7 linked regions of the Canis lupus familiaris genome follow. The protein of the gene in region 3 interacts with the protein of the main gene of each other region in a pairwise test. Links are inferred from orthologs where the notes say so. Each region holds a gene or a part of one and is shown on either strand. Other genes may lie near its edges. The genes, in order: NEK6, KRT13, TLE5, LMO4, ZGPAT, CRACR2A and BYSL.

Region 1 (4,274 bases), on a different chromosome or scaffold from region 3:
CAGCCCTTTCTATCTGACAGTCCTGGCCCTAGGCATGGGTCATCCACCGCCGAGGGGCAAGAGTAGACAAGGAAGGAGGGCAGCACTTCTGGGAAGACGTCTCCCAGAAGCCCAGAGCCTGGTGAGGAACCTGGCCCCGCAAGAACCTGGAACACAGTGACCTTTACTTTCTACGTCCAATGGAAAGATGGAGGGCTCTGCTCAGACAAGCCTGACTTCAACCGCACAGCATCCTGTGATCTTTGGCACATGATTTCATCTGTGTCCCCAGTTTTCTCATCTGTAAAATGGGCACCATGATAGTTCTGTCTCTGTGCTGCCGGGTGGACTGGGTGAATTTAGGTACTTACAGCTTTCGTGCCTGGCATATGGGATGCCCTCAACAAATGGTGGCCATTAGTTGTGATGCTACTTTCATAAAATTATGCCTCGTATTCCATCTCTCTGAGCCTCAGTTAGGTCATCTGTAAAATGGAGATGACAACCCCCAACCTCATGGGGAAGATGAAATGAGTAGATGTGTGTGAAAGCACCGAGCACCCAGCCTGTGCACCTTCAGAAGACAAGTTATCAGGCCCCTGGTGTGGAGGGCAGACTGGAAGTCAGGGAGGTGACAGGATTCTGCCTCTACCTCCTCTCAGCAGTCCCAAGACACAGGGTTGACAGAGACACAGGTCTCTGTGTCTCTGCGCCCACAACTACTAGGAGGATTAAAAGTGCACACAGTAGGTGCTCCGTAAGCATGACTTCCCCTGCCCTTCCCCTGCCCCCTCCTCGCTCAAAGCCACTGGAAACGTCACCTGGCAAAGCCAGGAGCTTCGATTCTTGAAACCCGAATGATCTGAAATGGCTCAGAGCCCAGACCAACCTGGGCCACTGCTTCAGTCTGAGACTTTATTTTCTGAAGACAGAAACTACTTTTAGTCATTTCCGAAGCAGACAGGACGGCAGAGGCTGACAAACCACAGGGACCATTTTAAATCCTGGGCCTTTTCTTCTGGGAAGTTAGGCAAGAACCTTCCCAAATGTTTGCCCGTGGGGCTCTCTGCCAGGGAGTGACTCATCCACAGCTCCCCACAGGCATATTTTATTTGGGGAGTGGGGGATGGAGGGAGGGCCTGGCCTTGAGGGGAGAAGAAGAGGCAGCCTTTCCAGCAAACCCAGAAGGTGGGTTGGGTTTTGTTTTGTTTTGTTTTTTTCATTTCTTTTTAGGACAAAAAAGAAAAAGAATGTGGATCTTTTTTGTTTCCTTCCAGGTTTTGTTTGCTAAAAGAAGACGTCCAAAGTTCACTCAGTAAGCTGCTGCGTTGGGAACAGGCGCCTCCAGCCGCTCTGCATCCCTTTCAATGAAATTCTTCTTCCATTAACACCACGATTTTTAAATGTGCCTCCAAGATCTGCCTGCGCACGACATTTTCTCCTCAGAAAGTCTAGCTGAGTTTTGAAAATTCAGGGGGACGAGGGAGTTCAGTGTTTCTGAAGTTGCCCTTAAAGCAATCGAGACTTTTTTTTAAGATTTGTTTATTTGTTTGTTTACTTATTTATTTATATGAGAGACACAGAGAGAGAGAGGCAGAGACACAGGCAGAGGGAGAAGCAGGCTCCATGCACCGGGAGCCCGACGCGGGACTCGATCCCGGGACTCCAGGATCGCGCCCTGGGCCAAAGGCAGGCGCCAAACTGCTGAGCCACCCAGGGATCCCCAATTAAGCCTTCTGACTGCAGAGATTTTCAACATTTCTAAAGCTCCCCCCAAAACTGTGTCAAAGCTGCGCAGACAGACCTTGGAAATCAGTGTCCCAAGCCTGCTGTGATCAATTTGTTACTGTCTTGGGGGCTCATGCTTGGAGCCCAGGCTCAACAAGTAAATAAGTCAGATGAATACGCATCTAGTCGACAGAGCAGGCAGAGACAGGGCGAGAGACCCTCAGATACACAGACAAGTGTCCTGGCACCCCTGGCCTTCCCAGGGTCACCGTCCCCCATCCCCACCCCCCAAGGCCCGCGGGAAAGATGAAAATCTGCCCGGGCCAGAGACCGGAAGAAGAGGAGCCAAGGGACCCAGAGGGGGGTGTTCAGGAAGAACTGAGGCCGCGTCCTCTAGCAGCAGGCCGAGGAGCCCTGCCCGCCGCAGCAGAGCCGCAGCCCAGCCTGAGCATCCTGGGGCCCCACCGAGGCCCGGCAAGGAGGCCTCCCCGTCTGCGGGGCCCAGCCTGGCTCTGCGGGTCTGACCTCCGCCCCCCTTCGGCGCGCGAGGCCCCGCACCCGCCGGGAGCCCACCCCGGGCCTAGTTCCCTCCGCGGGCTCCCTGGCACCCGGGAGGGAGCCGCCTGGTGGGTGCAAGGAGGTGCCCGCCCGCGTGCGTGAGAAACGCATTCACACCCTCCCGGACGCAGGGTGCATGTTCGCGTGCACGGACACGTACACTTTTGTCCTCAAAGGCTCCCAAACGCGCCCAGAAGTCACTCGTGAGCACTCGCGCACGTGCACACACGCACGCCCGGAGCCTGGAGCACGGCTCCCCATCCCCACGGCACGGGCCCCGCGAGCGCTCGGCCCCGCGGGAGCCCCGCCGCGCCCCAGCCCGCCCGCGGCCCCGCACGCCACCGGCCGGGCCCCCGCGACGCGCGCGCCCCCGCCCCCGCCCGGCCCGGTTCCGCCCGGCCCGGCCCGGCCCCAGGCCACTCACCGGCGCGCGGGCGGCTCGGCTGCCTCGGAGGAGCGGCGCGCGGGCGGCCGGAGCGGAGCGGGGCGGAGCGGGGCGGAGCGGAGGGTCCCACACTCGCGGCCGCACGCCCGTCCGCCCGGTTCCGCCGCCGCCTGCGCGGGCCCGCGCGCTCCCGCCCCTCCCCGCCGCGGGCCCGCGCGCTCCCGCCCCTCCCCGCCGCGGGCCCGCGCCGCCCCCTGCGCTCGCTCCCGCGCGGCCGCCACGCTGGCCCGTGGGCGCCCCGGGGAGACCGCAAGGCGCCCGGAGCCCCCGGGGCCGCGAGACGTCCGCGCAGCCCAGGCGCCCCCTCCCCGTTCCAAAGATGGGGAGACTGAGGCCCAGACCCTGCCGGCGAGTCGGCGCCAGCAGACCCCCCTTCACCCCTAGTCCCCGGGCTCTAGACGCTCAGGGCTGGGGTCCGCACTCAGCGAACCGGGGACCCGCCCCCGCATCCCTGGGTACCCCCCGACGCGGCCCCCTCCACGGCCCTGCGCACCCTGGGTAGCCAATCAGCTCTTATTGCGCGCCTACTGGATGCGGCGCACGTTTAGGAGGAAGCTCCAAGGGCATCTCCGCCTGCTGAAGGTGCTGCCCCCTGCCCTCAAAGCGCCAGCGTCTCCTTATATGGAGCTCCCCAATGCCTGTGAACCCCGAGATAGGGAGAGTCGAGGTGCAAAGGTTTCCGGGAGAAGGCCCTACTGAGTGGGTAACACCCTCTCTAAGGAGACAGAGTCTCCATGGGGCCCCGAAGGCTGCAGCTGGCCTCCTAAGGGAACCTGCGCGCCCCCTTCCCCCAAGAAGGGCTCCGGGCCGGCTCGCTCAGCTCCCGCCTCCTGCATCGGCCGCTGCTCCTCCACAGGCAGGACCGTGCGGTGTCCCCCCAGGACGCCTGGAACCAGGAACTGACACTGACCACCTGCCGGCTGTCCAGCTTAGTGACAGCACCGTGCCGAGCCCGCAGAGGACCCCCCGGCGCTCCACCTGGCTGCGACCTGTGACAGTAACGACACCCGTAGGACCCCCGCCAGGTGTCATACTCACAACCGCACAGCCATTCTGCGAAGGAGGCGTTATGCCACTTTCATGCCCGTTTTACAGATAAGATAAATGAGGTTTAGAACAGAAGCTGAGAGAGCCCAGTTCTCTTGCTCAAAGTCACCCAGTTGGTAAGGGTTGAGCAGGGAGCTAGACCACAGCACAGACTAACTCCAGTGCCCAGTCTCGGCAGTCCCACCTCATAAACAACATAGCTCTGGACTGCTGGTATAAGAGGGCACGGGGGACAGCTGGCACAGACGGCCCAGCCCAGTCCCAGCCTTGCCGTGAACCAGCAGGGACAGAACAGGTCATTCTACACGTTGGTTAGCGGTTTGGTCGGGGACCTACTTACAGTCTCACTTCACATGATACGCATCACAACAGATATCAGATAGATTGAAGAGGTAACTCCAAGAAATAAGCGTTTCAGAAAGTGATAGAAATAAATAGAAGTTCTGAGACAGTGTGTTGCAGTGTTGCTGGCAGGCCAATGATTAGGGACCGTATCAATGCAGTAAACATTAATTTC
Region 2 (4,170 bases), on a different chromosome or scaffold from region 3:
GCCCGGCTTTCTGGTGGGACAACAAAGAAGTGATGAGGGGAGCCAGGCCAGGCAGAGAGGGCAAGAGGTGGCAGCCACTGGGCAGGGGGCAGCAGGTGTACCATGCTGAGCTGGGACTGCAGCTCGATCTCCAGGCCCTGGAGCGTACGCCTGAGCTCCGTGATCTCTGTCTTGCTGGTCTGAATCATGGCAGTGTTAGTAGACACTTCCTTGTTCAGCTCTGCACTCTGAAATTAGAGCAGGAAGAAGGTTAGAGAGGAGCCCAATGGGACGCCCCAGCATCCCCCAGCTCCACAAAGTAAGAAGGCCGGGTACCTTGCTGTGGAACCATTCCTCGGCGTCCCGTCGGTTCTTCTCCGCCATGGCCTCGTACTGCTCCCTCATCTCTGCCAGCACACGGGTCAGGTCAATGCCCGGGGTGGCATCCATCTCCACGTTGACCTGGCCTACCATCTGGTTGCTGAACTCCTTCATCTCCTATAGGGATGGAAGTAGGAGATGTGTGAAGCTCCTCATCCCCCCTCTTCTTGGCTCTGAGGGCTACCAGCATGTGCTGAGAAGCGCTTCCAGGTCCCACAGCAGAGAGCTAAATCTGGCTGCTCCCCTTTATCACTGGAAGCATTTCAGCCATGGAAGGCCCCTGCCAGCCCTCACCTCCTCATGGTTCTTCTTCAGGTAGGCTAGCTCCTCATTCAGGCTCTCAATTTGCATCTCCAGATCGGTCTTGGACAGGGTCAGCTCGTCCAGCACCCGGCGCAGGCCATTGATGTCGGCCTCCACGCTCTGGCGCAGGGTCAGCTCGTTCTCATACCTAAAGAATATTTTTTAATTGGAAAAGCAACACAGAAATTATATTAGACACTCCCCTACTTCTGCACTGGACTCCACTACTTCTCCAAGACCTTCACTCCCAGGATGCTCCGATTTCACCACTGAGACGAGCATTTGTCTCAAATAAAAGAGTTTGAAAAGGCCAGCGAGGAAAATGAACTCACTTGAGCCTGAAGTCGTCTGCCGCCAGCCTGGCGTTGTCAATCTCCAGAATGACCCGGTTATTGTCGATGGTGGCCGCCAGGATCTGCAAAATACAGAAGGTGGGTACTGGAGGGTCCACAAGCTTGGGGAGGAGGAAGAGAAAACACAGGCAAGACTGTTGTCCAAAACTGCCTCAGCACCTGTCCCTGTGAGCTGGGATAAGGCCCTTCTCTCTGGGCCCTGGTAAAGTGAGGGGCGGGGCAGGTCCTTCCTCGGGCTCTGTCACTCGGGCATTCTGTGTCCGGCCGTGATGGGGAAGGTGGGAATGTACATTTCAGAGGAATGACCCTGCCCAGGGTATCTTTGGTTAGTCATGTCTTGAAAGCCTCAGACTAGCCATCTCTCTAGTTTATCATCATGACAGCCTATTCCTTAAGGTGGGGGTGAGGGGTCAGCCTGGGTCCACACAGCTCATAGGAGGCTCACTGGAGCTGGCCTCCGGGCTGAGCAGAAGGAAGAGCCAATACATATTCCCATCCATTTGAATTTCTTGTCTAAACTCTCATATTCTGAAGCGGTTAAAATCTACCACACATAGCTGGGACCCAGCCCAGGCAGGTGGATTTCCGTTCCAACAAGCTGGGACCCCAGTGTGACAGACAAGCCGTGATGAAGGAATCTCAGCTCCGCTTAACCCAGCCTAAGCCTCTGCCTCCACCTCCCACACCTCACAGCCACTTGAGAATAACAGTGTGAATGGGGCCCCTACAAAAGCAACTAATATTCCCAGACCAATGAGTGAACACATATCCCTTTCTCTGACGATTTTAGTCATGGTTTCCAAACCGCTCAGTGGGTTGGAATTATAGGGATCAAGTTGTTAATAACATAACTGTTTGGAAAGCAGTAAAAATGTTGATATGAGTAATAACAGCAGTAAAAATGGACAATGGGAAAGAACTCATTTGGGGAGCGGTGGCATAAGAAAGCTTATCAGGAGTAGAGACTCTCAGTAGTAAAAGACTAGAATTTTCCTCCACAGGCGAGGTGAGGATCCCACCACACAATGTCCTCTGGTCCTGTGGGATACCGTGTTCCCTGGCCTCTGCAGCTCTGCCCAGCTTGGAAGAAAGCTCGCCAACATCCAAGGGCTCACCTTGTCCCGGAGCTCCTCGATGGTCTTGTAGTAGGGGCTGTAGTCCCGCTCCGGGCTGCTGGGGCTCTGCTTCAGGTGCCAGTCTCGGATCTTCACCTCCAGCTCGGTGTTGGCCTCCTCCAGGGCACGCACCTTGTCCAGGTAGGAGGCCAGGCGGTCGTTGAGGTTCTGCATGGTGATCTTCTCATTGCCAGAGAGGAGGCCGCCATCGCCACCACCGTAGTCACCAAAGCCGCCGCCAAAACCCCCACCAAAGCCACCTCCGAAGCCACCTCCGAAGCCACCTCCGAAGCCTCCGCCGAAACCACTACCAGCCCCTCCACCGAAGCCACCCCCAAAACCACTACCAGCACCCCCACCGAAGCCGCAGCTCATGCCACCCCCGTATCCCCCAGCTGATCCCCCAGAGACAAAGCGGGTTGAGCAAGTAGAGATACTGCGGCCTCCTCCCAGCTGACAAGAGCCACCCCCGAAACCACCTCCATAGCTGGCAGAGGAGCCCTGCAGGCGACAGCTCATGGTGAGAGCAAGATGAGGAGCAGGTGTGGACGGGAGCTGGGCTTGGCCTGGGCCGAAGACTGTGGCTCTTCCCCAGAGTGGGAGCCTTTTATACTGCCCTCCACAAGGTTGGACAATTGCCCCATCTTCTCTCCTCCCTTCCCCACCCTCTGACTGGTGCCAACTGCACTTCTGTTTCCCACAAGCCCAGTTACCTCTGCTCTCCAAGGTGGGTTGTGCCTTTGGGGGTGGCTTTTTTTTTTTAAATCCTTAACAAAAGGGATGATTCAGAGGGAACAGTGCTCTGCCTGAGACTACCCTTTTGACAGCTGAATTCCATTTCACGTCTGCACTTAGGGAGCTCACTCCACAGGCTCTCAGCTCCACCCTGCACTAGAATGGGGACGGAGCTGCAAGGTAGCCCTGTGCTTTACAAAGTCACCGCAGCTCTCAGCTCCCTTCTTTCTATTTCTAAAACTTCGGACTAGAATGTTCTGCATCCTTGTTAGCATTTCACCTACTCCAGTGCTCCCAGCGACTATGACGACGAACTTCGCTTGGTCCTAGAGGATCGACTACCTTGAAGGTATTTAGGCTGGGGGGAAGAAAAGCTCCAGGACTAATGTAGATCCTACTAGCCGCCCCATTTTACACATGGGAAGTCGAGACTTTAAGGGTAGTCAGGACTGAAAAACCCAAGTCTGGTTCTATCTGATACAAAGGCTCCTTTTTTAGGTATATAATTCATACAGTAGATTGCACAAACCATTAGTGTCTAGCTTAACACATTTTTACCTACGTAGGAAGCTTCAAGCATGTGTTCACCTGTGTACCCTTCACCCGGACCATTTTCAGCGCTCCATAAAGCTCCCCATACCTTTTCCCAGTCAATTACCCACACCCTATGCACCTAATGAGACCACAATCCCACTTCTGTCCCCATCAGTTAATTCAGAGATCTCAGCGAGGGGCTCTTTTTGCTCCCTGGAGAACATTTGACAATGTCCGCAGACATTTCAGTCGTCCAAACACGGGGATTCTACTAGTATCTAGAGCACAATTACCAGGGATGCTGCTAAATATCCTACAATGCAGAGGACAGCCCCCATAACAAAGAATCCTCTAGCCCAAAAGGTCAATAGTGTGTGTCGAGGTTGAGAAGCCCTGGATCAGTCTGACCTCTGTATTCAATCATACCATCATACCAGCTGCCTTAGAGGCAGAGTCAAATCCAGAAAGAAAGTCTTTTTTTTTTTTTTTAGATTTTTTTTTTTTATTTATTCATGAGAGACACACAGAGAGACGCAGAGACACAGGCAGAGGGAGAAGCATCGCTCCAAAGGGACTCTGATGCTGGACTCGATCCCAAAACCCCAGACCACACTCTGAGCTGAAGGCAGGTGCCCCTGGAAAGGAAGTCTTATATAATGCCTAACAGGGCTCTTTCTAGAACCCTGATCACAGGACATCTGTCTCAGCTTGTGAGCATTTGATCAAGAGGCCATATAGGAGGATGCAACCCACTCGCCGAGGGGGCCAGG
Region 3 (2,870 bases):
GGCACTTGCACACACACGTGCACACAGAGGCAGGCGTGCACGGGCTCAACACAGATAGATGAGGCTCGCACGCGCACCTGCAGACACAGGTCTGCACGCACATGAACGCAGGGACGCGTGGACACGCACCCCGGGGAACCACGCACTGAGCTCTTGCTTTGGCTTTTTGTTTTTTGTTTTTTAAGATTTTATTTATTTATTCCTGAGAGACACAGGCAGAGAGAAAAGCAGGCTCCCTGCGGGGAGCCCAATGTGGGACTCGACCCTGGGACCCCAGGGTCACCACCTGAGCCAATGGCAGATGCTCAACCATTGAGCCAACCAGGCATCCCGGCTTTTTGGGGTTTTAAGACCGTTGGTGTGAGGCCCATTCCATCACCGGAGCCATTCCTGCCCTCTGCCAGGCTTCCTGTCCATAATTTATCATTTCCTCTTGGATTCCTGACCATGTCTTGGGGCCCTTTGGGTAACCTGCTTGCCCAGAGACAATTCCAGAAGGATACTATGAAAACCCTAGAGAAGGGGGTTCTTGGGGCTCTGATAGACCTAGACTTGTGCTTTCCTTTCATGACAGGAACTTCTTGGTAGGCAAGGCAAAAAGGGAAACTGGCAGGAGAAACAGACTTTCAGGGAGTGCTCGGGTGTGGGAGGGATTGCCCTGAACCCAGAATCCACTGGGCCTTCCCCAGTTGTGCAAGGAGAGGATCTTGGATTAGCAGATCTCAGAGGCACAGGCTGCAGGCTCTTAGGATCAGGTCTTCTCTGTATGGTTGGCCAGGTTGTGCACTGTTCATTGACTCCTTTGCACATGGCATTGAATAGGTCATGGTCCGGGGTTTCTCTCAGACTCCCCTAATGGCATTTTCTTCAGTATCTGGCACCAATCCCCTTGGGTCTTCTTGAATCTGTCATTTGTCCCCATTTTCCAGAGGAAGAGACTGGGGCTTGGTGAACAGAAGCGGCTGGAGGGAGGGGTTTTTCGGGGGCAGGGAGGGTGGCTCCTCTTGGGCTCTGTGCCCCAAACCTGCACAGAGATCGGGGCACAGCACCTGGCTCCTCTGTCTCTACCCCATCCCCCTTCCAGCACCAGCAGCAGGTCTTGGGAGCCATCGAGAGGGCTAAGCAGGTCACCGCTCCCGAGCTGAACTCCATCATCCGAGTACGTCTGGGCTTTGGGTGGCCTTGGGTGGGCCTTGGGTGGGCAGGGGCCCCAGGCAGCTAATGCTTCCCTCCGTCTGCCCTGCAGCAGCAGCTCCAAGCCCATCAGCTGTCCCAGCTGCAGGCCCTGGCCCTGCCCCTGACCCCACTGCCCGTGGGGCTGCAGCCACCCTCGCTGCCCGCCGTCAGTGCCGGCACCGGCCTCCTCTCGCTGTCTGCGCTGGGCTCCCAGGCCCATCTCTCCAAGGAAGACAAGAACGGGCACGACGGTGACACCCACCAGGAGGATGACGGCGAGAAGTCGGATTAGCGGGTGGCGGGGTGGGGAGGGTGGGGGGGCGAGGGGACACAGACATGGAGAGAGGAACATTTAGCGCAAGACACAGTGTAGCTCGGGATTGGCTGAACTCGGTAGTATTTATGGTAGCCGCCTGCTGGGGTCCTAGCCCTGCCTGTGTGCCACCCCTAGCTTCTCACACCCCCGGCTCCAGCCTCCCTCCTCCTCCTCCCTCTCCCCTCCTCCCCGCCCCCCCTGCAGCCGGAGTGGGCCAATACCTGCCCATTCCACCCGGGAGGTAAGCTGAGGCCTGGAGGCGCACAGGGGAGGCCAGGCCCGAAGACAGCAGAGCCTCCAGAAGCCCAGCACCCCCGCACCTCCCCGCCCGCGCCCGCCGGGCCCCTCAGGGCGCGCCCCCAGCCTCCCACCCTGGCACTGCATGCAAACACCACGCTAGCTGCCCCTTCCCGCCCTGGGCACCCCGCGTCCCTCCCCCCTCACTCCCCTCCTCCTCCGCAAGGCTAGTTCCAGAGCCCACGCCCACCGCTCCTCTCCCCTGCAGGAGAGGGGGCGGAGAGAGGGAGCCTAGCCAGGCGCAGGGGTGGGGGCGGGCGGGCGTCCCAGAATTCCCTTTCTCCCCTTCCCCAATAAAGATGAGGGTACTCAAGTTGTCTTGGTTTTTATTTTATTTTTTTCCTTTTTCCAGTACACTAGCTTGTCTTTTAAGAAAAGGGATATTTAAAAAAAAAAAAGAAAAAAAGGACAGAAAAATGTTTTAAAAAAACAAGCAACACCCACACCTGTGTCTGTATATAGCCTTTTAGACTTGTCAGCTTTTGTTGTGTAGAGTCGTTTGATCGCTGCGGAGAGAAGGGAGACTGCTGTACCGAGGGTGGGCTTAGCTGTGCCTTTCAAATAAAGATGTGAGAAGGTTGGTTGCCTTGTTCCTGCCTCTGTGTTGTGGGCTGCCGCGGTGCCCCCCTTCCCAGGGGAGGAGGGGGCTTCCCTCGTGTCTGAGCTCCCTCCTCCTGACGGGCCGGATCCGGAGAGTCCCCGTGGGGGTGGGGGGTCCGGCCTGTCCCTGTAGTCTGTCTCCCGAACTGATGCCCAGACCGGAGGGGCAGCTGGAGGCTCTGGGTCACACAGCCCGGCCCAGGGGCCTGAAGCGGAGCTGACCCGGCTTCCCATCCCCAGGCCAGAGGGCTCCTCGGTGCCATTCTTTTCCCTTAGACACCAGACTTTGAGCCCGCAGGACCCACGCCCACTGCATCCCCACTCTGCCCATTTGGCCAGATCAGAGAACACACAGCGCCCCCCCCCCAGCTGAACCAGACCCTCCGAGGACCTGTCCAAGGCGTCCCTGCCACGCCCCAGCTGGACCACCCAGGGGAACCCCAAGGAAGGCTATCAAGAGGCCTCCGGCTGCCCCCCCAGG
Region 4 (4,273 bases), on a different chromosome or scaffold from region 3:
GAGGTGGTGGGAGGGGAGGCAGGGGACGCGAGGGAGGGGGTGCGGTGTGTAAAGTTGCGAAACTGGTTTTTCGTATTTTAAACAGCACCTTTCACATGCCATTGTGGTGACCGCCATCTCCCATTATTGTTCCAAATCTCATTTCATTTTGAAGATCAATGAGTGTTTTCTCTGGGTTTTCAGGACACAGGCAAGAATAATAGATCATTGAACTTTAGGATGCCTGTTAACTTCCTATACAAACACTCTCCACTTTGGTCTCACTAATCTGCCCTTGATCAGCAATTTAAATGCTAAAGCTTTGTTCCTCCAAAGGGGGGGGAGTGTGTGTGTGTGGGGGGGGGGGGGGGGCGACGTTACAGATAATATGCGAGAAGGCACTATTAAGGGATGCACAAGTTATATTCGAGCCAGTCCTGCTGTCACCAAAAACTGCTTTTAAAAAAATTCCCCACTCTTTCTAATGAATGTCACGAGAAGCAACTGGGGTATAATATAGGAATCAATTTATAAAGCTTAGCCTAAACCGATTAATTTGTTGCCTCCAATCCTGAGTCCAATAAAGTCCTAGTGTTCCTCCAGTCACTTATTCTATAAAAAGATCAAGTTATTTACTGCCAATTAAGCAGCCTGTTTTGTCTTTGTCCTCTGTAAGCCGAGAGTGGAGGCTCCCCCCGAGGCTCCCGGCTATCTGCTCAAGACATTCAGCTGATACCTCAGAAGGGAGAGGGCGAACTTTGCCTGTCCCCGGCCCAACTTGGCTGCTGCAAAAAAAAAAAAAAAAAAAAAAAAAAAAAACAACCAGGGGAAGGGAACGAAACAAGGACTCGGGTTCCTTAAATAGGCCGATTTTAAACACATTTCCTCCGAAAGAGTCCCGGAACGTGTGTCCAGTGACCGCACAATAAACCAGAATAAGAACTGCACCAATTAAGCTGTAACAAAACCCTGAGACTTTGGAAACAGGACCACTCTAAAACCCATTAGCATTGCATTTATCCGAATGCATCATACCTTTATGTAAATTGATTTATCTGATGCATTTACTCGAGGAATTGCTTTTTGTTACAATTTCAGCCCTAACCCAAATGAATCTGCATTTCCTGCCCGAGGTCTTTAAACTGTTTCCCCCAACGTTTTAATCGCTCCGAATTCCTTTTTAAAAGGGGAGAGGGAGGGAGGAGATTCCAAGCTCTTCCCCGCCCCCATCTTTGGTGAGAGGTAAATATATATGTATATTTTTTTCGAAAAGGAAACATTACACTGAGAAAAGCATCCAGTAACCCCATTAGCTAAAGCTCTTAAGGACAAGCAATACCTTAATGCTGATTAAATCTAAAAGAGATGAATCAAGAGGACTGACCAGAAACTGACTCCCCTGATAACTAAGGACGGGCCCTCATCAAGTTTCATTTAGAGTTGGAAAAAAAAAAAAAAAAAAAAAAGAAAGCTTTTAAGTTAAATAGGCTTATACTCTAGTAATTACATAGCCAAGCAATTTAGGTCCTGGGATAGTCAGTGAAATAGAAAGCAGAACTGGCAGCTAGAGGCAAAATCTGCCCCCCTTTAACAACGTCTCTGGTGTTTTTTAATGGAGACCAGGGGAGGGACAAACGTAGCGCTGGCAATTTGTAGTACAAAAATGGATGCTTAATTCATGTCTTGATTTTAATTAGGTGATTCACCGGATTTCTCCTGGATTGGAACAAAAGACTTATAAGCCAAGAGGAATTTTTGAAAAGAACCAGCAATACTGAATCCTGCTCACTTAGATCCTTTCTGCCACTGTTTCAAAAATAGTGTTTACTGGGGGGCTGGGGGGGGGGGTCGTGACTATTTCCCCCACACTACTTCTCATACTTAAACCCTCATTTAAGCACCTCCGGCCTTTCCCTTAGGAACTGAAAATACCCCCCCACTACCACACACACACACACACACACACACACACACACGCACACACGCACACACACCCCTCCCCACCCTCCCAGGTCCCCAGCAGCCCCGTCTCCAAGAAGAACCCTTTTGTAAGCAGGAACCGCTACAAAGCTGGCGGCCCGGGGCCGGCTGCCCTCCGTGCTAGCTCGCAGGCCGGCCTCGGTAGTTTCAGACTCGCGCATTATCCAAGCCGACGTATTGTTTACTTGCAATTTGGGACGGTCAAGGGAAGGAAGCCAAAGAAAACAGCCCTGGCCCACATCGGCCCCCTCCTCCCTCTGCCCCCCCTCGCCCGCGGCTCCCCAGCCGTCCCCTTACCTGCTTTTCCCCTATATTGCAATACTGCGAGAGGCGGCGGCGGCGAAAAGCGAGCGAAGCCGCTCGGCTTCCAAGGAAGGGGCGCCTTGGCTGGCGGAGCTGGAGGGAGGGGGGATGTTCTCGCAGAAGCAGGAAAGGGGAGGAGGGGGCTAAGGGCTGCTTTTTTTTTTTTTTTTTTTTTTTTTTTTTAAACGCGTCGCCCTGAGGCTGGGTCGGGGGGCCCCGCCGTAAGCGGCAGGCGGCCGGGAGCTGGAGTGTCAGGCTGAGTCCTCCGCGTCGTCCTCCGCCTCCGCCTCCGGCTCCGGCTCCGCGCGAGCAGCTGCAGGAGCCCGCGGCCCGCGCGGCGCGGCTTCAGGCGCGGCGCAGCGGCAGCAACTGCTGCAATCGCTGCTGCAAGTTTGGCAATGTGGCTTCACTTTGTATATGCCCCCGCCCCCGCCCGCGCGCCTCCCGCTCCTCCTCCTCCTCCTCCTCCTCCGCCTTCCTCCCTCCCGCGCGCCCGCCCGCCCGCTCGCTCGCCCGCTCGCTCGCTCGGGGCCGGCGGCGGGCGCTCGGCCGCGCTTCCTGCCCCTCCAGCCGGGGAGCGGCCGCGGGCACCAGAGCCCCGGAGCGGCGGCGGCCGGCGCGGAGGCCGGGAGCCGGGGAGCTGCGGCCGGCCGGGCCCGGCGCGCTGGAGCCTGCGCCGCTGCCCGGGCTGCTGCTGCTGCGGCGGCCGCCCGGCTCGGAGGAGGCGGCGGCGGCGGCGGCGCTGGCCTCTAGCCGGCTCGCTCGCTCCCTGCGCGGCGCTTACACATGTGTTACTGACAGAGCCGAATCCCAACTACTCCCCGGCTCTGCCGCCGACGTCAGCGACCCTCAGCCACTGGGCGGCCGGGTTGTTCAGGCGGAATAATAAAACCTGCCAATCCGGGGCAGGACAAAGGGAGGACTGGAACGAGACTCCGCGGGCGGGGGAGCGGGGGAGGCGGCGGGCGGAGACGGCCCGGCCGGGGGCAGGTGGGCGGCCGAGCCCCGGGGACCCTCGCGGGACCCCCGGCGGGACCCCAACCCCCTCCCGCGGGGGGCAGGATGGAGCGGCCGGGGGCGCCGCTCCTGCCCGCGCCGGCGATCGCGGGGACCCGCACCCGCGCGCCCCTCGGGGACCCCCCCCCCGCGCGCCCGCGCGAGCCCCGCAGGAAACTTCTCGTCTTGCTCAAAAATGGGTCCCCTCCTGTTGGGGAGGAAGAGTCTCCCCGAAACCTCCGGGCGGGGGGCTTCGCTCGCACGCAGAAGAGGTTTTGTTTTTCTGCCTTTAATTCGCGGGCGTTGGAGACGGATGAGCCCTTAGTGGGAAGTTGAGCGAGCGAGGAGGTGGGGACCGAGTCCGCAGGTCTTGCAGGACTTGGCCGCCCGGCCCCGGTCCCCCGCGTGGGCCCGAGCGCCGGCCGAGAGCCCCGTGGGCGTCTCGTAGGGGATCGTCCGAAGTCGGAGCTGAAGAGCTCACAGCCCGGACTTTGGGGGTCCAGGGGAACTTCAGGGAGGAGGGCTCGGCCTCCATCCACCCCTGCTGTGCAGGAGGAGAGGCCCGATTCCTCAAGCCCCCCGTCCCCCCCCCCCTCCCCCCCCAGACAGCAACAAGGAATGGCAACATTCACCATCCCACAGCCTCTGGGGAGGAAGAAAGGTCACGTCTAGTATAAATTTAACTGTTGAGGAATGCTTTTAGGGTGCTGCTAGCCTGAGAGTCTTTTTCCAGGGCCCCGAGCTCAGCCTAGATGCTTGAGTACCTAGTCATTCAACTTTATCTGCTCTGCCAAATAGGTTTAATAAATCTCTGATCTGAGGCTAATATTAGGTCTGATTATTATTAGTAAGTTCCAGAGAGATTTTTCTGGTGGAAATTATCATGAAAGTGCAAAGCCCTTCTGCTAAGTATCATTAAGTTAAAACCAGCCTTGTGGGACGAGTTTTCATATTGTATTACATACAGTACTGCTGGATTGAGGTAAGGGACCTGCAGAAGAGTCTGGCTTAGACA
Region 5 (4,019 bases), on a different chromosome or scaffold from region 3:
GAGTTAAAAGGGAACTGGCAGGTCCTCGCTCTCGAGGGTGGGGGCAACGGGGGAGCTGGGACAGGGCTGGGGGGAGCCTCAGGGACACAGTGGGGGACGGAGCTGAGGGGAGGCTGGGCCGGGGGTGTCCCTGGAGGAAGCGGTGCGAGGGGCGGCCTGGGCACGGCCGGCTTACCTTGTCCCACAGCGACTGCAGCTCTTCCTGGCCCCCCAGGTCCCAAAACATGAGGCGAGCCTTTCCCACGTCCACAGTGCCGACTGCGGGGAGAGGACAGAGGACAGCACAGGCTGGGGACCCGCTGCCACGCGCCGCCTCCCGGCCAGGCCAGGGACGGGCGGCTCTGGGCTCCCCGAGGCGGCCCGGGCGGCCCCCCAAGCCCTCCGCCCCGGGGGGGGGGGGGGGGGCCTTACTGTTGAGACCCACGGTGGTCGTGATCTTGGAGAGACTCATTCCCTTGTAGTTCTTGTTAAAGCGGGTTTTCGACTGTTCCAGGAACGTCTGCGAAGAGACGCGCGCGGGAGGTGAGGGCGGCTTCCCCGGTGTCCGGTGTCCGTCCCGGGCGGGCGGGGGGCGCGTGGGGGCGGGCGGGGCCGCCCGGAGGGGGAGGGCCGGGGGCGGGCACCCACCGTCTTGCCCGCATTGTCCAGCCCCAGGATCAGGACGCAGTACTCGTCCTTCTGGAACATGTACTTGTAGAGGCCGGACAGCAGCGTGTACATCCTGCCTGCGCAGCGGAGGCGGCGGTCGCGGCGGGCTGGGAGCCGGGGCGCTCCCCTCCCCCCCCTCCCCTCCCCCTCCCCCCGCGCCCCCGCCCCCGAAGGCCCGCCGTGACGTCAGGCTCCCCGGGCTGACGACGCCCCCGCCCCAGCAGGTGCCCGGCGGCCGCGCAGCGGGAGCCCCTGGCGGCGTCCGAACCCCCCCCCCCGAAGCCGGGCTGCGAGGCGGCGGCCGGCGGGCGTCGCGGCCCGACGGCGGGTGCGGCCCCCGAGGCCCCGCCCCGCCCCCCCCGCCCCGGGGCGACCGGCCCGCGCTACCTGGCGCCCGTCGGGGCCGCGGAGCCGCCCGCGCCTGACCTCGCCGACCCGCGCCGACCCCGCGCTGACCTCGCGCGGCGCCCGACGGGACGCAGGCCGCGGGGGGGAGGGGCCGTCCCGACGCTCCCCGCGCGCCGCGTCCCGGCGTCCCCCGCGCGAGGCACTTCCGGCGGCGGCGGCGCCCGGGAGGAAGTGCCGGTGGGCTGCGAGGGCGGAGGCGGGGGCGCCGGCCGCTCTAGCCGGTGAGGCCGGCGGGGCTCTATGGCGGCGGCCCGGAGCCCGCGCGGAGGCGGGGCCCGGCCCGGGCGAGGGGGCGCGGTCTGGGGCGACGGGGCCGGGGCCCGAGGCGACGGGGCGGGCGGAGCGGGCCGGGCCGCGGCGGGGGCGGGGCGGGGCGGGGGGCGGCGCGGCGCTCAGCGGCTCCCCGTCGTTGCAGCCGCGCCGCCCGCCGGGCCGCAGGATGGACGAGGAGAGCCTGCAGGCCGCGCTGCACACCTATGACGCGCAGCTGCAGCAGGTGGAGCTGGCGCTGGGCGCCGGCCTGGAGCCCTCGGAGCTGGCCGACCTGCGGCAGCTGCGCGGCGACCTCCAGGAGCTCATCGAGCTCACCGAGGCCAGCCTGGTGTCCGTCCGGAAGAGCAAGCTGCTGGCCGCGCTGGACGGGGAGCGCGCGGCCCCGGGCGACGCCGACAGCCGGGGCTCCCAGCAGGCGGGGCCCGCAGCGCCCGCAGCCCCCGGGGCCGCGCCGGACACGGCTCCCGAGCGCGAGCGCCAGCCCGAGCCGGCACCCAGCGGGCCCGGGCAGGGGGAGGAGGAGCGGGCCGGCGACGAGGACGGCGACGAGGAGGAGGCGCTGAGCGGCCGCAAGGTGAACGCGCCGTACTACAGCTCCTGGGGCACGCTGGAGTACCACAACGCCATGATCGTGGGCACCGAGGCGGCGCGCGACGGCTCTGCGGGCGTGCGGGTGCTCTACCTCTACCCCACGCACAAGTCCCTGAAGCCCTGCCCCTTCTTCCTGGAGGGCAAGTGCCGCTTCCAGGACAGCTGCAGGTGAGTCCGGGGCAGGGGCGCAGGTAGGCCGCGCCGTCCTGGGAGGCACGGTGCCCCACCCTTCGCTGCTCTGGTTCTTTCGGGGGAAGCTTGCAAAATGCAGTGTCGCAGCCCCGCAGGGCCCGGCGTGGGGCCGCCCGCTGCCCCCTTCGCCGCTGATCAGCCCTTCCTTGCCAGGCTCGTGTTTGCTCTCTCCTTTGTCTTCCTCTTGTTTGCCTGCACCGTGTAAAGGAAACCGTAGAAGTCACTGGTTTCTTTTTTTTTTTTTTCTTTCATCAATCGATGCTCAAGGGTCGCATCCCTGACAAATCCGTAAGTTGGATCTTGTTCATGATGAGATTCACACGACTGTGGCAACGGTGTCACTCTTTCCTTAAAATGCCCGACTCGGCTTTTGCTCCTTATCGCTTCCATCTGTGGAAGGAATGTTTACCAAGTCTTGCAGATGATTTTCTTTTTGAGTCAATAACCCAGGGAAACTCTCTCTAGTCCTTTGGTCTTTGTCTTTGCTTACGGACCGTTGCTGGGTCCAGAGCGTCCTTTAACACGATTTTCCACAATCCTTTCTTTCCTTGTAAGTCTGATTACAGTGTGGCACCCGTACGGGAAGGTGCGTAAATCATGAAACGTACTGGAGTTTTCACAAAGCAGACCCATCCATGTGCTGCTGAACAAACAGGTCAGAGAACAGACCAGCAAGCCCTCTCGTCCTCTCTGCCGTTACCCTCTGGGTGCCTCCACGGGCCCGGGTGATGCCCCTTGTGACGATGAGAGCTGACGTGTCCGTGTGCTGTTCCTCTAGGCCAGGCTCCGGGCCAGGAGTTTCACGTGTGTTGACCCCTCCGTGCAGCAAGCCCCAGGGGTGGGCCCCACCACGGCTAAGGTTGCCTGGCACAGACGGCGGCACGAGCGAGCCTGCAGCGGGCACAGGCTAGCTTTGCCTCGGCCCCCAACTGCTGTGCCTTGCTCTGTTGTGTTAGCTATAGGCCCGACTGGCACAGCCTACGACAGCCACTTGCCACTGCCAGACAGATCAACGCTTTTCTTGCATTGCTTTGCATTTTTATTTTATTTATTTTTTAAAGATTTATTTGTGAGAGAGAGAGGGAGGGAGTATGCACCCTCCGTGTAGGGAGAGCCAGAAGGAGAGAGGGAGAGAATGTCAAGCAAACTCCCTGCTCAGCTCGGAGCCGACCCTGAGATCAGGACCTGAGCAGGACCTGAGCAGACGCTCTTAGCTCAGTAACCCACTGAGCTACCCAGGCGCCCCTGCTTTGTATTTTTAAAAATAGCTGTGTCACAGCCCCTTCTCCTCCCAGGCTGTGATCACAACTCCCTTGTGTTTACCTCTAGCAGATGTTAGCTCTCCGCAGACAGGAGCCTATATGAGAAGAGTAACTTTTTGTGCTACTTTTGAAACAAATGGTGTCACACAGGATGGTTTATTTTGCAACTTGCTTTTTTCACTAAGCAGGGATGTGAGAGGGCATCTGTGCTGGTATCTCCAGAGCTGTTTAATTGGTTTTAACTGCTATGTTCTTTTCTCTCACAAATGTGCCACATTTTATTATGTTCCTTTCTGATGTTTTCCAGTTTTTGTCTGTTACAAACAGCTTGCTGTGAACATCTTAGTAGCGTCTTCTTCTGTACCTGCCTGAGAATTTCCCTAGTATGGGACCGGTGTGTCGAGAGTGTGCAGAGTTCCCGCTTCCGTATGAAGGCCGGTGCCTCGTCCCTCATCCTCTCTATCACTGCCGATTCCTGCCTGCTGAGCGCTGGGAAAATGGGATCATGGTTGAATTTGTGTTTCCTTGGTTCCTAGTGAGATACAGTATTTTTTCGTTCATTTTTTATAGCTTAAGGTCTGTATTTCAATTTCTTTATCTGTAAAACAAACGAGAGTTGTCTTTCATAGTTGTTGGGACAATGGA
Region 6 (3,500 bases), on a different chromosome or scaffold from region 3:
TAGTATTTTATACTCTCATGCACTGATTATCATAGCTGTCTATGTCTATTTTTTTTTTTAAATTATGTAACCCCAAGTACAGTTGAGGGAGGGCTACTAATTTCCAGAACTCTCCCTGCAGAGGAGACCCTGCAAACCAAACAGGCAAATGATTCAAGCCAATAGGGGGCCTCGCGGGAGGAGCTAGCTTTCAGATGTGCCAGGGAAGGACCAGGGGGTCAATGCTGGGGCCTTTCTACTGATTGTACGGCCCAGTGTGAGCTGTAAGTTCTATTTTTTTTCTTTATGCCAGATATGGTTATATGAACAGCTTTCAAAATGAGAAAGAAAGCCTTCGCTTTTGCTGTACTTTGCTTTTGTGGGATCCTCAAGGCCTTTCAGAGAGCTGTTTCCCACAGCAAGAGAACAACAGAGAAATCAGTTGTACTTTAGAGCGTGGTGTGTGGGTCTCTAACTTGTTCAGGTGGAAGAGCTCCCTTACAACTTGGCAAGATCCTGGCGATAAAAGGCAGTGTTGGAGGATGGCAGTGGTTGCAGGTTTTTTTTTTTTTTTTTTTTGTTTTTTTTTAGATCCCAACCAAACTAAGTGAAAGTCGTCTTGTACTGAGAAGCCAAAACCAAAACTTCTAATTTTGGAATTTTGTTTAGAACCTGACCTGTGAAGGGGGGAAGTGGAGCCCTTTTGGGGCTCCACAGTAGGGCAAATCAGCAGGTGTGGATCTGAGGGCACTTTGTGTTTCTACAGAAAGATAAGGCGGCCAAGGCAAACACAGCTGCTTCCAAAGCAAACTGGAAACAGAGATCTGGCTCTGTGATAGGCAAATATGTGGATGGCAGAGGGATCCTTAGGAGGTAAGTCATCCTGGATTTCTTCATTCATTATGTGTTCCTTTGTCTTGCACCTCCTGGGAGATGGCTCTGAGCGCATAGGTTGGCTCTCAAGAAGTGGCCCCAGTGGGGAAGCCCAGAGCCAGTTGCACTCACTCCCCTTGAATCTCAGAGGACATGTTCCTTCCTGTTCTGACATCCAGGTGTCAGGAGGACTGCGCAGAGCAGATCTCTAGGACAGGACATTGTCTTCTAGTATGTGCCTGCAGATAGGAACCAAAGAGGTGCCGGAAATTAGAAGAGTAGAGAAAGAAGGGAGATGAAAGGTGTCAAGGGAGAGAGGTGGAACGTGGCTGGAAGATAGTCTGCTCTCTGTCAAGCAGAATGGATGCACTTGGTTTTTTGGGGACATGACATTTTGGCTCTGAAGGGTAATTAAAGTGTGGCATGGTGTCTCCAACAGTTGAGCTCCTTTGCACACAGGAATGGGGCCCGTGCTTGACACATTCCTCTCAATGCTTCATATTTAATGTTACCTCACAGATAACATTTTTGGTTGCGATTAGACAGCACAATAATCGAGTTTGAGTCCCGAGAGGAGTGGCTCGTTGCACATTGAGAGAGACAAGCCAGTCCTCTGCCCTCTCTTCTTTTTTGGCATGTGTTCCATCCACATAGACAGCCACAAAAAGGCAAAGGCAACCAGACCCCTAAATATCAAAGGTAGGGAGAAAGTTCACGAATTTGCTCATCCAGGAGACCCTGAGGACAGCAGCATGAAATACACAATACAAAAAAGGGAAGTGACTTTGGAGACCCTGACAAGCACCTTGGTCAAATCTTTGGACCCAATTATCCTCAATTCCTTTTCTAAATAGCTCAGCAAAGGGATACAACTTGGGATCCAAGTTTTTGCAATAATAGTTGGCCTGTTGGTTGCTCAGCGCTGAATATATTCATTCAATAGACATTCACTGCTTGCTTGCTGTGTAACCGACATTCTTTTCAGTTCTGTGAAGACTCCAAAACTAAACACGAATCCTGCCATATCCATATTGAGTGCCTACTATGGGCAAGATATTATGCTCTGTGCTAGAGTGGTGAGCTAAACCCTAGCTTTCCTGGAGCTTAGGGTTGAGTAAAAGAAAAAGAAACAGTAATCATATAAGTAACAAATCATGCACCCCAAATTCCAATACAGACTTTGGCAGAGACCACCACTGTCTGCTGCTCATACGTAGCCGTTGGTGGCAAAACCAAAAATGAATTTAGTCATGCTAAGCTGAGAGTATTACAGGATGTCAGTAGTGTTTGAGAATTTCCCAAATCAAAAGCATTTTCTAAGAAATGCTTCATTTTAGGGCTGTTTCCCTAGTCATTTTTTTTTTCTGGTTGCAAGGCCTTCCAAACAACATGCTGTGTGTGTATGGGCACACTGGATTGCATGTGCACACATGCGTGTACTTGTGTGTGTCAGCAGAGTGAAAATGGATTGGAATACTAATTGTGTTCTAAAGCGGATAAGCCATCAGTAGGCTTGTTAGACTATAGAAGAAATTTGTTGGAAAGAGGACAGTCAGCTTCTATTAAAAACTATGATTTTATAAATAAAGGAGAAGGTCCCTGAATTGCTACAAAATTCTTTATTTTGTATCAAGGGACCCAAATTAAGTCACCGTTTTTGTGAGCAAGCACTCTCTTATCTTTCAGAGTTGCACTTGACTTCAGAACAATGATACATGCAGTTTTTTCTTTTCCCTTCCTATTATTGGTTCTTAGGAATAATAACTTTTATAAGCCAGGGGGCAAAATGAAAGGAGCTTCACTGTTTTTCATATCATGTGACCCTCATCTATCTTCTTTCTCCTTTGGCCCTGTCACCTGCTCACCTAATTTGCATTCCGTTTTTTTTTTTTTTTCTAATCCTTGCATGCGTGTGTGTGCATGTGTGTTTCACTTTTGGACTTAAGGTTCTCCCTGCCAGATTTCCATTTAAAACCCTTCTCAGCTTTAACTGTTTATTCACAGAGACTTGACTTCCTGTGCCAGGAAGTGAGGCCTTTGCTCTCAAAACCTGAAAATACAGCCTGTGCATTGGCTCATATCTGGTTGCCCAATTTCCTCTACCTCCTACTGCTTTCCCTTGTTCTTGATGCTTCTGGAAGCAAATATGCATGTAGGCCTCTGAGGCCACTTATTCCGGACACTGACTAGCAGGGTCATTGAAAGAGAAAGGTAGGAAAGGCAGGTAGAGGGGCCCTGCCTGACTTCCTTGCTACCCAAAGCCCATCCACAAATGGGCAGTTGCTTCTGAGCCAGTGGTGGGGGCTCCTCACAGAGCAGCAACACCTCCTCACTCATTTTGCTGAGGACTATTTTGTGAAGACATCTGTTTTTATGCATTGTCTTATTACTGAGATAGGCAAGGCAGATGAGCCACATTCCATGGTGAGGAAACTGAGGCTGGAAGAGTTGAAGTGTTTTCTTTAGTGTCGCAGTCAGTAAGGGCTGGTGTCAGGACTACAGCCAAGGTCACCTGATTATTAACTAAAGATGCTTTATTTCCAGATCTTTTATGCTCCTTTCTTTATATCCTTTACTACCCCTTTTTGGCACTTCTCACAGCTTGTTGAAGTGTATATAGTTGTGCCATTACTGCTTCAGCCCCCCAC
Region 7 (3,983 bases), on a different chromosome or scaffold from region 3:
GACTAGCTCCAGGGATCCCTGGGTGGTGCAGCAGTTTAGCGCCTGCCTTTGGCCCAGGGTGCAATCCTGGAGACCCAGGATCGAATCCCACGTCGGGCTCCCCGCATGGAGCCTGCTTCTCCCTCTGCCTATGTCTCTCTGCCTCTCTCTGCCTCTCTCTCTCTCTCTCTCTCTGTGTGTGTGTGTGACTATCATAAATAAATTAAAATTTTTTTTTAAAAAAAGAGTGGTTCCCACAGGCTCCAGCCCTAACTAGAAACGTGCTAATACTTACCGGTACTCAAAACAAAACAATCCCTAAAATCTAGCATTTTCTCCAAGAGCATTAGGCCCATACCTTTCTCTGCCACCCCACTTATATCATGTTGAGAGATTAAAAGTCCATAGTAATTAGTTACACCAACCATACAATTAAACATAGTAGGAAACGAATTCTGAAGAGGTGACGTGCCTAAACCCCAATCTACCTCCCAACAGCTGCTGCTGCTTATTTTTTTTTTTTTTTTCCCTCTAGACCGAAAATCTTAAGACGGCCGCACCAGAACCAGACACGGGCCGGTCTAACTGCATTAAGTGGCTGTAGGGAGGGGCAGGAGAAAATCTTTAAAAAAAGACGGTTTCCTCGTTGCCTATCCTTTACCTCCTCTAGCTACGCCTGTAGATTGGGTCCTAGTTCGGGCATCCTTAATTTCCACCTCGGGCAGCCCTATGGCCTCCTGGGAAGGAGGAACACAACCACTGATGGGCTCCTGGGACAAAACCTTTCACCTGCCGCCTTTCAGGACGAAGGGAAGTGTCTCCGAGCAAACAAGCGCGGAGAATCTGCAGCCCTCGCAGCGTCTCCATCACCCACACGTTCCGAAGATATCTTATCTTCATCAGCTCATGGGGGACCGCGGTCCCTGGTCCCGGCCCTCCTCCCGGTACACTCCGGGCTCCGGGGCCCTTCCCGACCCCGAGCGCCGCCCAAAAAAGTCCCCTGCGGGCCTACCAAGTCACTCCCATGGTATCGGGCCAGGAGGATGGCAGGAACAAACAATCGGATCACAGTAGTCTCTGGCCGCCCACACTAAGTGAAGACCCCTAACGAAAGCTTCGGCCGAGGGAGGTGCTCCGGAAATGACGCAAAAGGAGAGCGTCCAGTCGACGCGCCCACGAGGAACAGGGGCAGGTCTAGGCATCTCCTCGGTGACGCCTCCAGTGACGTCACTACCCAACTCTGGCCCCGGCTTTGCAGCTAGGCAAGTCCACGTTTGGCTGGGAACAGAGGTCCTCGATCTATGAAAGTAGAAAACCACCGCTCGGACTGCCACCACTTGCAGAAGCCAGCGTTAGAAGCAGTGAGTTCATTCGGGGACCGGCTGGCTCCAGGCCCCGCTCTTACGGGGTGTGGCGGCGCTGATGGCCTTCCCGGCCTCCGGACGCCGGGAGGCGCTGTGAGCTCCGCGGGGGCCTCTTGGGAGCTGGGACTTCACGGCGCAAGTGCGCTCAAGGCTTTTTTTTTTTTTTTTCCTCGTCTGTACCCCACGTGTAAACCTTTCTGGCAGAGTTCTGGAAAAAAATGCCCAAATTCAAGCCGGCTCGCGGAGCTGCAGGCCAGGAAAAACATGCGCCGCTGGCTGAGCAAATCCTGGCTGGGGACGCGGCGCGGGCAGGGCCCCGGGAGAAGCGGCGGGGTCGTGGGACCAGAGAGGAGGACGAAGAGTATGTGGGGCCCCGGCTGACCCGACGGATTTTGCAGCAAGCGCGGCAGCAACAGGAGGAACTCGAGACCGAGCATGGGACTGGGAACAAGGCCGCAGCCCCGCGCGAGCGCACCACGCGTCTGGGTAAGTGGGGGAGGGGGGTGCCAGGAAGAGGGTGGTTAGTTTTGGAGGGAGGGGGAAGTAGATAGACGGCCAAAAGGTTCTGCCAGGGGAATCCTTTGGAATAAAAAAAGTGAAATTGAATAAGGAGTCCGCATCACACCCTTGCAAAGGTGATGAAATGGGAGACCCAGCCCTGGAATAGATTCAGGGTGGTCAGAGCTCTCTATGCCCACTTGTTGCTTTAGATGCTTGCGTCTAGGCAGTCTCTAAGTTAGACCAACAAGAAGTTAATTGGTCACACTATTGAGCACTCCTAACGTTTATCCATCTGTTCTGTACATTCTTGTAGGTTGTCTAGTCCGTACTTTGCACTGTGCTAGGTAGGAGTTTAGATGGTTTTGAGTAAAAAAGGAAGCAAGATAGCCATGACCCTGACTTCAAGATCTTACAGTCTAACCTGAGAGACAATTAAATTGACGATTCGAATAATACATTTCATGATGAAAGTATAGTTTTGGGACACCTGGGTGTCTCAGTGGTTGAGCATCTGCCTTGGGCTCTGGGCAGGATCGCGGGGTCCTGGGATGGAGTCCCGCGTCGGGATCCCAGCGGGGAGCCTGCTTCTCCCTCTGCCTATGCCTCTGCCTCTCTCTGTGTGTTTCTTGTAAATAAATAAATGAAAATCTTTTTTTTTTTTTTTAAGTATAGTTTCATCTTAAAACAAGAGCATTAGTTTTGGGGGTCAGGGTTCCTAGGTTACATGACTTTGGTGCTGAAAACTAGTGGAGAGAGAGCTCTAAGCAGAATGAACGATATTGTTTAGGTGCTATAAAGAGGGAGAGAGACTAATAAAAAGATGGTCTTTTTTTTTTTTAATTTTTTAGGGTGTAAGTGTTGACCTCCGGGTCACTTAATACATTTCTCAGGTCACATCTTTCATTTGTCCTGAGAGCAGTGTTTGACACAATTAAACACTGGCCTCCTGGGTTCGGTATCTTTACTTGGCTTCTGAGCCATCCCATTCCTGTTTTAGTACTTCTTCACCTCTCAGCATCTTTTGCTGGCTCTTTTGTCCCCAGCCTTTTATCATTGATATGCCACAAGTTTGGTTCTTGGACCTCTTCTTTTCATATCTCTTCTCTGGTGCTGTCATCCATTTCACGGTTTAAGTACCATCTATTTGGTAACTGTTCCCACCCTTGTATTCTTGCCCTGATCTCTTCCATGAAAATCAGATTCTTCTATTTTAGCTGCCTTTTTGACATCCCCAATTTGAAATCTAATAGACGTCTTAAATTTATTTTTTTTAAGATTTTATTTATTTTTTCATAAAAGACACAGAGAGAAGGCAGAGACATAGGCAGAGGGAGAAGCCGGCTCCTCACAGGGAGCCCGATGCCGGACTTGATCCCAGAACTCTGGGATCCCTCCCTGAGCTGAAGGCAAACGCTCAACCGCTGAGCCACCCAGGCGTCCCAAGAGATCTCAAATTTAATGTGTCCAAAACAGAAATCCTGATCTTCTCGCCAAACCTGCTCCTCCCACTATCAGCTCAGTTAATAGGATGCTATCCTTCCATTTGATCAAGGCAAGCCTTGGATTTCTTTCTTATTCCACATTTGATATGTTAGGAAATCTTGTTGACTCGTATCTTCAAAATAGATCAGAGTCGGGCAGCCCGGGTGGCTCAGTGATTTAGCACCGCTTTCAGCCCAGGGCCTGATCCTGGAGACCCGGGATCGAGTCCCACGTCAGGCTCCCTGCATGGAGCCTGCTTCTCTCTCTGCCTGTGTCTCTCTCTCTCTCTCTCTCTCTCTCTCTCTCTCTCATGAATGAATGAATGAATGAATGAATGAATAAATAAATAAATAAATAAATAAATAAATAAATAAATAAATAAATAAATCAGAGTCAGACCACATCTCATCACCTTGGAACACAGTCCTATTTGAACCACCATAATCTCTCACCTGGATTATTTTTAGTAGCTTCCTAATTAGCATACAGTCACCCTTACAGTCCACTCACAATAATTGGATGACTTAAAAGACCTCCATGATCTGCCCCTGTTGCCAATCTGACCTCCTCTACTACTTTCCCCTTACTCTCTTCATCCATACAGGCTTTATTTTTCCTTAAACATACTAACTTAGGGCTTTTGTCCTGGTTATTCCT

The links.
Region 1: the proteins of TLE5 (region 3) and NEK6 interact in binary tests that used the Homo sapiens proteins (3 or more experiments, as listed by UniProt). The two-hybrid records come from large-scale screens. The link is inferred for Canis lupus familiaris from reciprocal best matches to the Homo sapiens genes TLE5 and NEK6.
Region 2: the proteins of TLE5 (region 3) and KRT13 interact in a two-hybrid assay, tested with the Homo sapiens proteins (2 studies listed by BioGRID and IntAct). The two-hybrid records come from large-scale screens. The link is inferred for Canis lupus familiaris from reciprocal best matches to the Homo sapiens genes TLE5 and KRT13.
Region 4: the proteins of TLE5 (region 3) and LMO4 interact in binary tests that used the Homo sapiens proteins (3 or more experiments, as listed by UniProt). The two-hybrid records come from large-scale screens. The link is inferred for Canis lupus familiaris from reciprocal best matches to the Homo sapiens genes TLE5 and LMO4.
Region 5: the proteins of TLE5 (region 3) and ZGPAT interact in binary tests that used the Homo sapiens proteins (3 or more experiments, as listed by UniProt). The two-hybrid records come from large-scale screens. The link is inferred for Canis lupus familiaris from reciprocal best matches to the Homo sapiens genes TLE5 and ZGPAT.
Region 6: the proteins of TLE5 (region 3) and CRACR2A interact in binary tests that used the Homo sapiens proteins (3 or more experiments, as listed by UniProt). The two-hybrid records come from large-scale screens. The link is inferred for Canis lupus familiaris from reciprocal best matches to the Homo sapiens genes TLE5 and CRACR2A.
Region 7: the proteins of TLE5 (region 3) and BYSL interact in binary tests that used the Homo sapiens proteins (3 or more experiments, as listed by UniProt). The two-hybrid records come from large-scale screens. The link is inferred for Canis lupus familiaris from reciprocal best matches to the Homo sapiens genes TLE5 and BYSL.

The regions. Positions count from the first base shown.
Region 1 is NC_049230.1:58,759,089-58,763,362, forward strand, and holds the start of NEK6 (serine/threonine-protein kinase Nek6), read right to left. Parts: upstream 2,801-4,274; 5' UTR 2,690-2,800; intron 1-2,689. UniProt on the Homo sapiens protein: Protein kinase which plays an important role in mitotic cell cycle progression. Required for chromosome segregation at metaphase-anaphase transition, robust mitotic spindle formation and cytokinesis.
Region 2 is NC_049230.1:21,136,624-21,140,793, reverse strand, and holds the start of KRT13 (keratin, type I cytoskeletal 13), read right to left. Parts: upstream 2,801-4,170; 5' UTR 2,651-2,800; coding exon 2,132-2,650; intron 1,079-2,131; coding exon 996-1,078; intron 812-995; coding exon 655-811; intron 478-654; coding exon 316-477; intron 228-315; coding exon 102-227; intron 11-101; coding exon 1-10.
Region 3 is NC_049241.1:56,593,515-56,596,384, forward strand, and holds the end of TLE5 (TLE family member 5), read left to right. Parts: intron 1-1,084; coding exon 1,085-1,159; intron 1,160-1,246; coding exon 1,247-1,468; 3' UTR 1,469-2,370; downstream 2,371-2,870. UniProt on the Homo sapiens protein: Transcriptional corepressor. Acts as a dominant repressor towards other family members. Inhibits NF-kappa-B-regulated gene expression. May be required for the initiation and maintenance of the differentiated state.
Region 4 is NC_049227.1:61,435,912-61,440,184, forward strand, and holds the start of LMO4 (LIM domain transcription factor LMO4), read right to left. Parts: upstream 2,801-4,273; 5' UTR 2,257-2,800; intron 181-2,256; exon of another isoform or gene 89-180; intron 1-88. UniProt on the Homo sapiens protein: Transcription cofactor. Plays a role in establishing motor neuron identity, in concert with MNX1, acting, at least in part, to disrupt LDB1-LHX3 complexes thereby negatively modulating interneuron genes in motor neurons.
Region 5 is NC_049245.1:48,102,663-48,106,681, forward strand, and holds the start of ZGPAT (zinc finger CCCH-type with G patch domain-containing protein), read left to right. Parts: upstream 1-1,219; 5' UTR 1,220-1,277; intron 1,278-1,471; 5' UTR 1,472-1,495; coding exon 1,496-2,088; intron 2,089-4,019. Other genes in the region: ARFRP1 (ADP-ribosylation factor-related protein 1), read right to left, coding at 176-258, 412-499, 628-720. UniProt on the Homo sapiens protein: Transcription repressor that specifically binds the 5'-GGAG[GA]A[GA]A-3' consensus sequence. Represses transcription by recruiting the chromatin multiprotein complex NuRD to target promoters.
Region 6 is NC_049248.1:4,848,759-4,852,258, reverse strand, and holds part of CRACR2A (EF-hand calcium-binding domain-containing protein 4B), read left to right. Parts: intron 1-745; coding exon 746-852; intron 853-3,500.
Region 7 is NC_049233.1:10,768,326-10,772,308, forward strand, and holds the start of BYSL (bystin), read left to right. Parts: upstream 1-1,183; 5' UTR 1,184-1,340; exon of another isoform or gene 1,341-1,547; 5' UTR 1,548-1,561; coding exon 1,562-1,829; intron 1,830-3,983. Other genes in the region: MED20 (mediator of RNA polymerase II transcription subunit 20), read right to left, coding at 992-1,005. UniProt on the Homo sapiens protein: Required for processing of 20S pre-rRNA precursor and biogenesis of 40S ribosomal subunits. May be required for trophinin-dependent regulation of cell adhesion during implantation of human embryos.